Linked DNA regions of Macaca mulatta. The main gene of each other region encodes a partner of the protein of the gene in region 2 in a complex. Links are inferred from orthologs where the notes say so. Each region holds a gene or a part of one and is shown on either strand. Other genes may lie near its edges.

Region 1 (3,751 bases), on a different chromosome or scaffold from region 2:
TCTACTAGGTCCATGCCCCGGCTCTAGGGAGAAAGAGGCAGAGACAAAGGAGGAGGGATGGGAGGGAGACAATGGGAAGAAAGGGACAGAGAAGAGAAAATCAGGGAACAGTCTGTAGGCAGGAATCTCTCAGTGAGACCTGAGAGGAGCAGAGCATGCTGGCAAGTGGCCCCGGCGTCCTCACCTGGGCTGTCTGCAAATACTGCAACATAAAGTACCAGAGCTGAGCCGGCGTGTCCAGCAACAGGAACTGGAAGCCAGCGGAAGTAATGCAGGGCGGCTCTCCAGGTTCAGTACTACAGACAAAGACCGGGACAATGACGGTGATATGCAGAGAAAGACTACTACCCCCACTTGTCCGCTCACATTTTTTCTTTGTATCTCTGGCTGTATTCTACTCAGCTTGCCTTTTCCAGCTAATGTCCTCTGAGCTTGACTAGCCGCAGATACCATTTCTTAGGGACCCAAGGAGATGGCACTGCAGAGAGCTGCTATACCTCCGGTTTCCTCACCTCTTCATGAGCCCAGCCTGGCTGAGGAGCTGAGCCAAGTCCTGGCTGACAGCTGCACTGGGGGAGCCCACCATGAAGTGCAAGACCACCTGAAGAACAGAAGAGAACAGGGAGACCATGCCCCAAGGGCCATGGGAAGTAGAAGCACAAGCAGAGACACACACAGTCCCAAGTGCTTACCTCCCATCGCTCCTCGGCATACTTGTCAAGGGAGGGAACATCCCGGGCATGCTTGTCTGGTCCCAGCTGACTTGTGTCATCAGACCAGGCCTTCCCCCTAAGGCCAGGATGGGCCAAGAGTAAGGAACCCTGGCCAGGAGCTCACACCTGTAATCCCTGTACTTTGGGAGGCCAAGATGGGCGGATCACTTGAGGTCAGGAGTTTGAGACCAGACTGGCCAACATGGTGAAACCCCATCTCTACAAAAAATACAAAAAATTAGCTGGTGGTTGCCTGTAATCCCAGTCACTCAGGAGGCTGAGGCAGGAGAATCACTTGAACCCAGGAGGTGGAGGCTGCATTGAGCCAAGATCGCACCACTGCACTCTGCCTGGGTGACAGAGCGAGACTCTGTCTCAAAAACACACAAAACAAAACAACAAAAAAAGAGTAAGGAACCCTGTCTGTGTTCCTTGCCACCCTTCTGCCATCTTTCCACCCTTATCCTCAGGGGCCATGAGTGGGGGACATTTCCTACACCACACACTGCAGCTGATCCAACTTACTCCTAAAGGAGCTCCCAACGTGGAGACCACAAGGTTCCGGGGAGGCCCCCAGGAGCTCCCCCTCCCAAACTGTAATTAGCGGTTTAATAAGCAGCAGTTCCCCTGCCCTAGCTTAGGAAGAGAGAGAAGTGACATACCCACCCAGAAGGGCAATGCGGAGGTTCTGGCGGAAAATGGGGTTGAGGATGAGGCCCTGGAGCCCGCCTGGGAGCAGCTGGGTGTGCCAGATCCGGAGGCCGCTCAGCAGCCCTGTACTTTCCTCCTGAGCCCTGGAACAGAAGCAGAGAGGTGAGCAGGGTATTTGGAGAACAAAAAGGAGGACCATAAAAGCCACCTCTCTGCCTGTTCTGAACTTGCTGATCCTTGGAACACTGTTCCACAGAGTGATATTAGTATCTGAAGACAAATTCTTTACTGCATTACCTATCAGAGCCTTATTACAGATATCACACATAACTCTGTAAGAGGGAAGATACATCTGAAAGCAAGAGGTCAGCTGGGAAATAAATAAAAGGGAAAAGGCAGTATGCAGAGTTTCCCAAATGTATTTATTTTTAAGTTTTGTGATATACCTATTAATACGTCCTGGAAGTGCTCCAAGGAACAGTAGTTTGGGAAATGTAGCTGTTGAGAAATTTGTATCTGGCTGAGACTTACTTGCTGAATTCCTTCTTTACCCACAGGGCTACAGCAGCTTGTGGCAAAGGCTGCTCCAGAAAGAGCATCCGCATCACCCAGTTCTTAGCCAAGGATGGGAGCTCCCTGAACAGGGACAGAGGTCAAAGGTTAATATCAGAAGCTGCATTGTATCTGCATCTCTGCCCTCAATTAACTCTCAAACATCTCATCTCACTCCACCACAACTTTACCAGTCCTGCTGTTTTGGCCCCCACACTTTGGAGCAATTTCCAAGCCGCACCCCGAGTCCCCACCCCTACCCCAGCCTGCTACACTTTTATCTGTTATATTTTATTCCAGTCCGCAGACCCCATTACATTTCCCTGCCATGAAGGGGATCCTCACCTGAAGACAGCCAGACAAGTGGCAGGGTGCCCATATAATCGGTCCAATACCCCAGGGCTCAGGCCCCCTAAGAATTCCTGCAGATTCCTGCATTGTAGGTGTACTCGGTTCAGTCCCCTTGAAGGGGTGCTCTCCATCACCTGAGGAATGCAGACATCAGAAGCGCACCCCCACCATCCATGCCAGTGTCACCCCTGACCTTTCTGATTCCAGATCCATGAGTCCCCACAATAACCCCACCTTTTCTGTGGCCTCCTTTCCCATGACACTCAATTCCTCTGGTTTCTCAAAAACCTGACCAATCTCCATCCCTTTCTTGCCTCCTCACCCTGTTTCTGCCCTTCAACTCCAGTCTTTCCTCTGCTCCAAGTGACAGAATTGTCAACTGTCCTGTGTTTGCAAGATCATTTTGTATTTCAATGACTTGTCTCATCTTCGGCTAAACAGAGACAAAGAAAATTGAGCCCACACCTCTCTCTTCCATCCCTCCTGGTCAGATCAGTCTATAAGCTCCAAATCTACCCGAACTTCCTATCTTCTATCTCTTAGCCCACTTCTGCTAAGTACGGCGGTAACCTCTCCCCTCCATGCTTCCCAAATCTAAAGCCACCTCTTTTCCCTTCCCAAGTCTAGTTCACCCCATTCACCCTGACCCACGCCTTCCGATCTCCTAGCTTCTCCCTGCCTTCCTCCCACTCCTCGCCTCTCACTCACCTGTCTCTCTCATACCTCTCCCACTCCCGCCCTCCTAGGTCCCCTCACCACTCTGTCGATCCTCCTCGCGCACCCCGAGTCTCGGGCCGTCGCTTAATCGGAGCCAAAGTCTCGCATTGGCTCCTGGAAACTGAGGGAAAGATGGTGAAAAAATGCGAAGAAAAGATGGGGAAAGCGACGAAAGATTTCACAGGCAAGAGCCCAGAATGGAGAATTCAGAAGAGAAGGGAGGTAAGGGGAGGAGTGGAAAAGTGAAGAGGATTAGAATAGACGATGCACACTCCCGGCGCGGGGGATGCTGGGAATTGGAGTCTTGTCTTTGCTCTCCTTAGAGCCGGCTGAAGTGCGTCTGACTACAAATCCCGAAAGGCACGGTGGGGAAGCCGAAAGGCAAGGAGCCGGCTTTTAATTGAGAGAGCGGGAGACACCAGAAGCCGGACCAGTTGGTTCTGCCAGAACCAACTCCGCCCACGCTGCTAACGGCGCATGTAACCCGATGGAGCGGGAGGCGGGTCGGGGAAAGTAGAAGTGCCTGGAGGGCTTCCGTGCGGAGGCGCGCTGTGGCGACTTGGTGGTGAACCGATTAGACTTAGGGACCACAAAACTGGATTCCGTGAGCACAATTACTCCCCGTAAAATTGGGATAATGCACACTCCGGGCCGGACGCGGTGACTCACTGCTGTAATCCCTGCACTTTGGGAGGCCGAGGCGGGCGAATCACCCGAGGTCAGGAGTTCGAGACCAGCCTGGCCAATATGGTGAAATCCCGTCTTTA
Region 2 (3,651 bases):
AAAGTGAGAGACATTACCCGTACTAGTCAATGGTCTTCCCCATCTGCTATCAACTGGCACTGGCAGCTGTGTAACGAACTGAAAAGGACCAGACTAGTGCATACAAGAACTTTACCTATGTCAGCTTGAGAATGAAACTGAGTAGGAATGCAGGAATTACTGAATATAATTATGTTTCTAGTCAGTTCTGTTGTACAGCTAGTATCAGAAGGAAAGCTCTTCAAAAAGAGCAACCCTATATATTTTCTTCTGCAGCTGCCAGCCTGACCCTGAAAGGAGAGAGAGAAGAAACACAGGAAGAAGAAAAAAGGGAGAATAGAATAGTAAAATGATCAAAGTCATGTTAACTATATGTTGGTAGTCTATGAACTCTCAAGGTTAGCTAAACCAGCAAATTTAAATGTGGATTACCATTGTTTGTACATCACTAATACAATGAGCTACAATTATGCTAATTAATGGTCATGCTACATTATAAAAGTCAAGACCTATATTTTGCGTGGTAAAAAAATAAATGAATTATACGTTAGGAATTTTACATTTGGATTCTAGAATCTCTCTCTGGTCCTAGAAAGTAGTCTTCTTAGTTTTCACTTCGCATTTAAATTCAAAAGCAGTGAACATCTGAATTTTTAAATGCTATTTATTTCCAAATTAGCACGGTCACTGACTGTGCTGGGGTTTCTTCAAATGGTGTGTGTTCATACACAGCATTCACGACTTTTTTCCACATCAAGCCATAAGAGCAGTAATTATGCAACAAAATATCTTCCTATCCCTGCAGTATCTTATGCTTTAAATTTTCTAAAACAAAAACAATTCAATTTACAAGCATACAAATTATAAATCTGGCAATACAAAATAAGCATTAATTAATCTGTAAAAACATAAGTGGAACTGGTACAATGACTTCTTTACAACCTTTACACAGAAGTCTTACCTTTAACATTTTGAAATAGATACATAAAATTAAGTGAAAACCAACAAATCAATCTTACAAATGTGTACATTCAAAAAACAAAGACCCTACAACATTTCTTTTAAGAAAAAGTAAAAAGCATTATCAGATTTCACCATATTAAAACATTCTAGGCAAGGTGCGGTGGCTCACGCCTATAACCCCAGCACTCTGGGAAGTCAAGGTGGGCCGATCACTTGAGGTCAGGAGTTCAACATCAGCCTGGCCAACATGGTGAAACCCCATCGCTACTAAAAACACAAAAATTAGCCTGGCATTGTGGCGCATGCCTGCAATCCCAACTACTCGGTAGGCCAAGTCAGTAGTGAGCTGAGATCACGCCACTGCACTCCAGCCTGAGCAAGACTCTTTTTTTAGGCAAGACTGCCTAAAAAAAAAAAAAAAAATTCTAGTTACAGGAAATCTCTCTTGATAATCAACTAAATTCTCACCTCAGTCATTAGCCATTGTTTCTGCTTGAGTCCAATATCTAAATGTTGTGTTTCATCCAAAATTTCATCTAAGGTTAGAGGATGCGTATCTCCTCGCTGATGCCGTGTCTATCAAGTGAAGAAACTGTTATTAGAAGACAGTTTTAAAATGCTAGATGCATTAAATCATAGTTACGTGTACATAAATCTTCAGGAATGAAAAACATGTATTATTCCAGGTAGTATAATTATAGTGACGAAGAGCCACAGACTATGAAATCAGAACGGAGTTGAAACTCATTGCTCTATAAAATAAAAAGATAAACTGACAAAAAATATATGCAACTCATATCACCAAGAGCTAATTCTTCCTAATATTTCAAGAGCTTCAAAAACCTAACAAATAGGCCAGGCATGGTGGCTCACGGCTGTAATCCCAGCACTTTGTGGGGCTGAGGCAGGTGGGATCACTTCACGTCAGGCGTTCGAGACCAGCCTGACCAACATGGTGAAACCCCATGTCTACTAAAAATAAAAAAATCAGCCGTGCATGGTGGTGCATGCTTGTAATCCCAGCTACTTGGGAGGCTGAGACAGGAGAATCGCTTGAACCTGGGAGAAGGAGGCTGCAGAAAGCTGAGATCTGGGAGACAGAGCAAGATCTCAAAAAAAAAAAAAAAAAAAAAAACAGAAAATGACCCAAAGACAGAAACGTGCAGATTACAAAAATGACCTTAAACATAGGAAAAGATACTCAACTTTCACCAAACAATCCTATTTCTAGAAACTTATCCTACAGAAATACCAGTACCACATAGAAAAATGACTTACGGGCCGGGCGCAGTGGCTCACACCTGTAATCCCAGCACTTTGAGAGGCCAAGGCAGGCGGATCACGATGTCATGAGATCAAGACCGTCCTGGCTAACACAGTGAAACCCCATCTCTACTAAAAATATAAAAAATTAGCCAGGCATGGTGGTGGGTGCCTGTAGTCCCAGCTACTCGGGAAGCTGAGGCAGGAGAATGGCGTGAACTCGGGAGGTGGAGCTTGCAGTGAGCTGAGATCACGCCACTGCACTCCAGCCCGGGTGACAGAGCAAGACTCCAACTCAAATTTAAAAAAAAAAGAAAAAAAAAGAAAAGAAAAGTGACTTATGGTCACTGTAGCATTGTTTATAAAAAGAAAATATTAGAAATAACCCAAGTGTCCATAATCAGAAGATAGATTAACCACAGCACATCCATTCCACTATACTGATGTTCACAAAGTAAATGTAAAATTTCTCTATGTGCTAATTTGAAAAGATGTCCAGGACAAAGTAATAAGTTAAAACACATATGTATCATGCCTATCCAATGAACACACACACACACACACACACACACACACACACACGTAGATACCAAAAGCTAGAGCAGATGCAAAGGAACAGGAAGAGTGTGCAAAATGGCACAGCCACTGTGGAATGACAGTTCAGCAGTTTCTTACAACACTAAATACACTCTTACCATTTGATGAATCTAGCAATCATGATCCTTGGTATTTACCCAAATGAGCCAAAAAATTATGTACATACAAAAATCCACTAAGGATGCTTATTACAGCTTTATCCATAATTGCCAAAAGCTGGAAGCAACCAAGATGTCCTTCAGTAGCTGAGTGGGTAAATAAACTGTGGTATATCCAGACAATGGAATACTATCCAGAGCTAAAACGAAATGAGCTATCAAGCTATGAAAAAAATATGGAGAAACCTTAAATACGTATTACTAAGGGAAAGAAGCCAATCTGAAAAGGCTACATACTGTATGGCTCCAACTACTGACATTCTGGAAAAGACAAAAACCACGGAGACAATAAAAAGTTCAGTGGCTGCAGGCCAGATGCAGTGGCTCACACCTGTAGTCCAGCACTTTGGGAGGCCGACGCGGGAGGATCACAAGGTCAGGAGATTGAGACCATCCTGGCCAACATGGTGAAACCTCATCTCTACTAAAATACAAAAAATTAGCTGGACATGGTGGCACGTGCCTGTAGTCTCAGCTACTCAGGAGACTGACGCAGGGGAACCACTTAAACCCGGGAGGCGGAGGTTGCAGTGAGCCAAGATCAAGCCACTGCATTCCAGCCTGGCAACAGAGCAAGACTCTGTCTCAAAAATAAATAAATAAATAAATAAAAATTTAAAAATTAAAAAAAGTTTAGTGGCTGCCAAGGGTTGCAGGGGAGAGAAGGATGAACAAGCAGAGCCCTGAGAAC
Region 3 (2,778 bases), on a different chromosome or scaffold from region 2:
AGCGTGTGGGCAGAGTCCTGAGGAGGAGTGGGGACAGAGGCATGGGGGCAGGGGTAGGCAGGTGCTCGGTCCTTGCTTCAGCCGCTGACTTGCCCAGCAGGGCTCTGCCTGGGGACGGTGGGAGATCAGCACACCCCCACGCTTCCTGCTGGGGCACTGCTCCTGAAAGGGGATCCGAGCCCACGATAAGAGGCTCGAAGCAGGTCCTTAGGAAACAATGGGTGGCTTGATGAGACCTGCTCTGTGATACTCCTGAGAAGGGAGAAGCCCCTGCAGCCAGTCCCCACTGGAAAGGAAATTGGGGGTTTCCGTGGCAACCAGCTCCCTGGGCACAAAGACTCGTCTGTCTGCTGGGAAGGCAGCTGAGGTGTCTCCCCTGCAGCAGCCTTTGCTCTGGGGAACAGGGAGATGGAGGGAAGGATGTGGGGGATCCAAAGGGGCTAAGGGCCTCTGGTGCTTCTTAAGGAGCTGACAGTCACAGGGCCACTGGAATAGGTGTATGCTCCAGGCAGCATGGCGGTAACAGGGAAGCAAAAGGTGGTGACATCGCAGATAAGCAGAGGGGAAGGGGGTTGGAAAGTTGAATATTTTATTTACACATATAAAGTGGGAATGAAAATTGGGCAAGGGCAGGAAGATGACTCCAGCTCAGTCGGTGATGATGAGCTCGTCCACCCCCCAGTCTTCATAGCTCCCATCTGGCAGGTAACGGCGAATGATGATGGGGATCTTTCGGGCCCTGTGGCAGGGGAAAAGTCACAAGTACATGAGGGCTGGTGACCCCAGCTCTGCCGCAGAAGGAACAGATTGTGTGCAAAACACAAGGAAAGAGAAGTCTTAGGAGCAGCCTCTTGGGGCTGATGAGTGTACTTTGTAAGAAAGCAATTACAAGAAAAAGAAAGTTTTTATATCAGACAAGAGGGGGAAGAGTGATAGAATTATTGGTAAGGCCTCCTGCAGCAGGAACAGGGAAACTCCAACAGCCAGAAAAGGTCCCGGTCTCATCAGTGCCCTCCCCCCTTTCCCTGCCTCCTCTTCTCTCTTCCTCCTACCTCCTGGTGAGCTGTTCCTAATGATCTGTAGGAATAAGCATCAACTTCTTCAGCCAGGGAAGTGGGAGAAAAGGGTGCAACAGAGAACCCAACAGATGCCTCCCAGAGATTTGGAGAAGTGAACCATGATTTGAGTGACTTACTTGAGTTCCTTCATGGCAATGAGCAGAGGATCTGTCTCCCCCTCCAGCTCCACCATCACAGGGGCACACATCCTGTAGGGATACGCACAGGTGTTGGGGAGACTACAAACCCAGGGAGAAGGGCCTAACAGGCAGTGAAGGTGGAACGGCATCCTGATCCCCACCTAGAAACATCATCTTCTAGGTAGACAGGCACAGTAGGGAGTGGTGTGTAGGGGCACTGCCAGAGATCTTCCCTGGCAGAGGCCTATCGCAGACGCCTGAGCCCAGCGGCCACAGCAGAGTGTCCTGGTGGAAAGGGTGGCGTGTGCAAAGGCACACCATTCTAACTGCTCCAACCCCAGAGCCTTGCCTCAGTGCCCAGGGCCCCTCATTTCAATTTCTATTTTCTCTCTCTCTCTATTTTTTGGAGAGAAAGTTTCACTCCCATTGCCCAGACTGGAGTGCAATGGCAAGATCTCGACTCACTGCAACCTCCACCTCCCAGGTCCAAACAATTCTCCTGCCGCCTCCCAAGCAGCTGGGACTATAGGCACACACCACCAGCTATACTAATTTTTTGTATAGATGGGGTTTCACCATGTTGCCTAGGCTGGTCTCAAACTCCTGGGCTCAAGCAATCCGCCTGCCTCAGCCTTCCAAATTGCTGGGATGAAACCCAGCCTCATTTCCATTCTCTATAGCCACAACACCTCAGTAGAAGCCCTGCCCTTCCTGCCCAGCCCTCCCTACCCTTCACCTGAGGCCAGCAGGCAGTCCAGGGACTCATCTGCTTACAACACTGCTATGACTCCCCTTGGCTATCAGGCCAGAGTGCAGTCTGGTCCCTGTTCGCCTTCCTAGCACAGTCCCGTGCTACTTTCCTGTATTTACCCCACATTCCAGCCATACCAAACTATTTCTGGTTCCCTAGACGAGCCATGTTGTTTCCCTTTTGTGTGCTCTTACAAGCTCTTCATCTCCCTAAAAGCCTGCAAGAGGTCCGGATGTCTCCATCCTGGAAATCGTGTGCTGACTCTTCAGTACCCCAAGTCAGTCAGGATATACTTTTCTTGGCACCAATCTCACTGAACTGTAACTACTTGTTTGGAAAGTTTCCACATTAGACCATGAGCTCCTGGTGGCCCAGAACCACATGTGATTCACCACGGAGGTCTAGCCCCCAGCACAACACTTGGCCCACAGTGGAGACTACCACCAAGCAAAGGGATGCCAATTCTAGGCCCATCTCCTCTAGGAAGTCAGTCTTGATTATTCCAGCTTAGGTTCACACTAACACATCCAGAATGAACAGGAGAGCATGCTAAAAAATACAGGCTCACGGGTCCTTCTCCAGAATCCCTGAACAGAATCTCTAGTGAAGCGGCCTGAGAGCCTGCATTTGCAGAACTGCCCAGATGATTCTGATAATCAGCTAGTCTGAGAGCTACCAGCTTACTGATTTTATTACTAAATATTTCAATTTATATTACTCCCAAAAGCCTGAAAATTTCCCAAGGGCAGAGATGGAAGATTTAACTTTCCCTATATCCTCTCTCAATAAGTATTCAAACTTTCCCAAAATATAAAGCTTTAAAGAATGT

Evidence for each region.
Region 1: GTF2E2 (region 2) and GTF2H4 share a complex: the UniProt entries of both Homo sapiens proteins name them as parts of the TBP-based Pol II pre-initiation complex. The link is inferred for Macaca mulatta from reciprocal best matches to the Homo sapiens genes GTF2E2 and GTF2H4.
Region 3: GTF2E2 (region 2) and POLR2F share a complex: the UniProt entries of both Homo sapiens proteins name them as parts of the TBP-based Pol II pre-initiation complex. The link is inferred for Macaca mulatta from reciprocal best matches to the Homo sapiens genes GTF2E2 and POLR2F.

The regions. Positions count from the first base shown.
Region 1 is NC_133409.1:152,144,742-152,148,492, forward strand, and holds the start of GTF2H4 (general transcription factor IIH subunit 4), read right to left. Parts: upstream 2,399-3,751; coding exon 2,262-2,398; intron 2,001-2,261; coding exon 1,896-2,000; intron 1,508-1,895; coding exon 1,376-1,507; intron 790-1,375; coding exon 693-789; intron 602-692; coding exon 513-601; intron 297-512; coding exon 185-296; intron 24-184; coding exon 1-23. UniProt on the Homo sapiens protein: Component of the general transcription and DNA repair factor IIH (TFIIH) core complex, which is involved in general and transcription-coupled nucleotide excision repair (NER) of damaged DNA and, when complexed to CAK, in RNA transcription by RNA polymerase II.
Region 2 is NC_133413.1:32,393,418-32,397,068, forward strand, and holds part of GTF2E2 (transcription initiation factor IIE subunit beta), read right to left. Parts: intron 1,519-3,651; coding exon 1,411-1,518; intron 1-1,410. UniProt on the Homo sapiens protein: Recruits TFIIH to the initiation complex and stimulates the RNA polymerase II C-terminal domain kinase and DNA-dependent ATPase activities of TFIIH. Both TFIIH and TFIIE are required for promoter clearance by RNA polymerase.
Region 3 is NC_133415.1:13,537,661-13,540,438, forward strand, and holds the end of POLR2F (DNA-directed RNA polymerases I, II, and III subunit RPABC2), read right to left. Parts: intron 1,268-2,778; coding exon 1,196-1,267; intron 740-1,195; coding exon 649-739; 3' UTR 565-648; downstream 1-564. UniProt on the Homo sapiens protein: DNA-dependent RNA polymerase catalyzes the transcription of DNA into RNA using the four ribonucleoside triphosphates as substrates.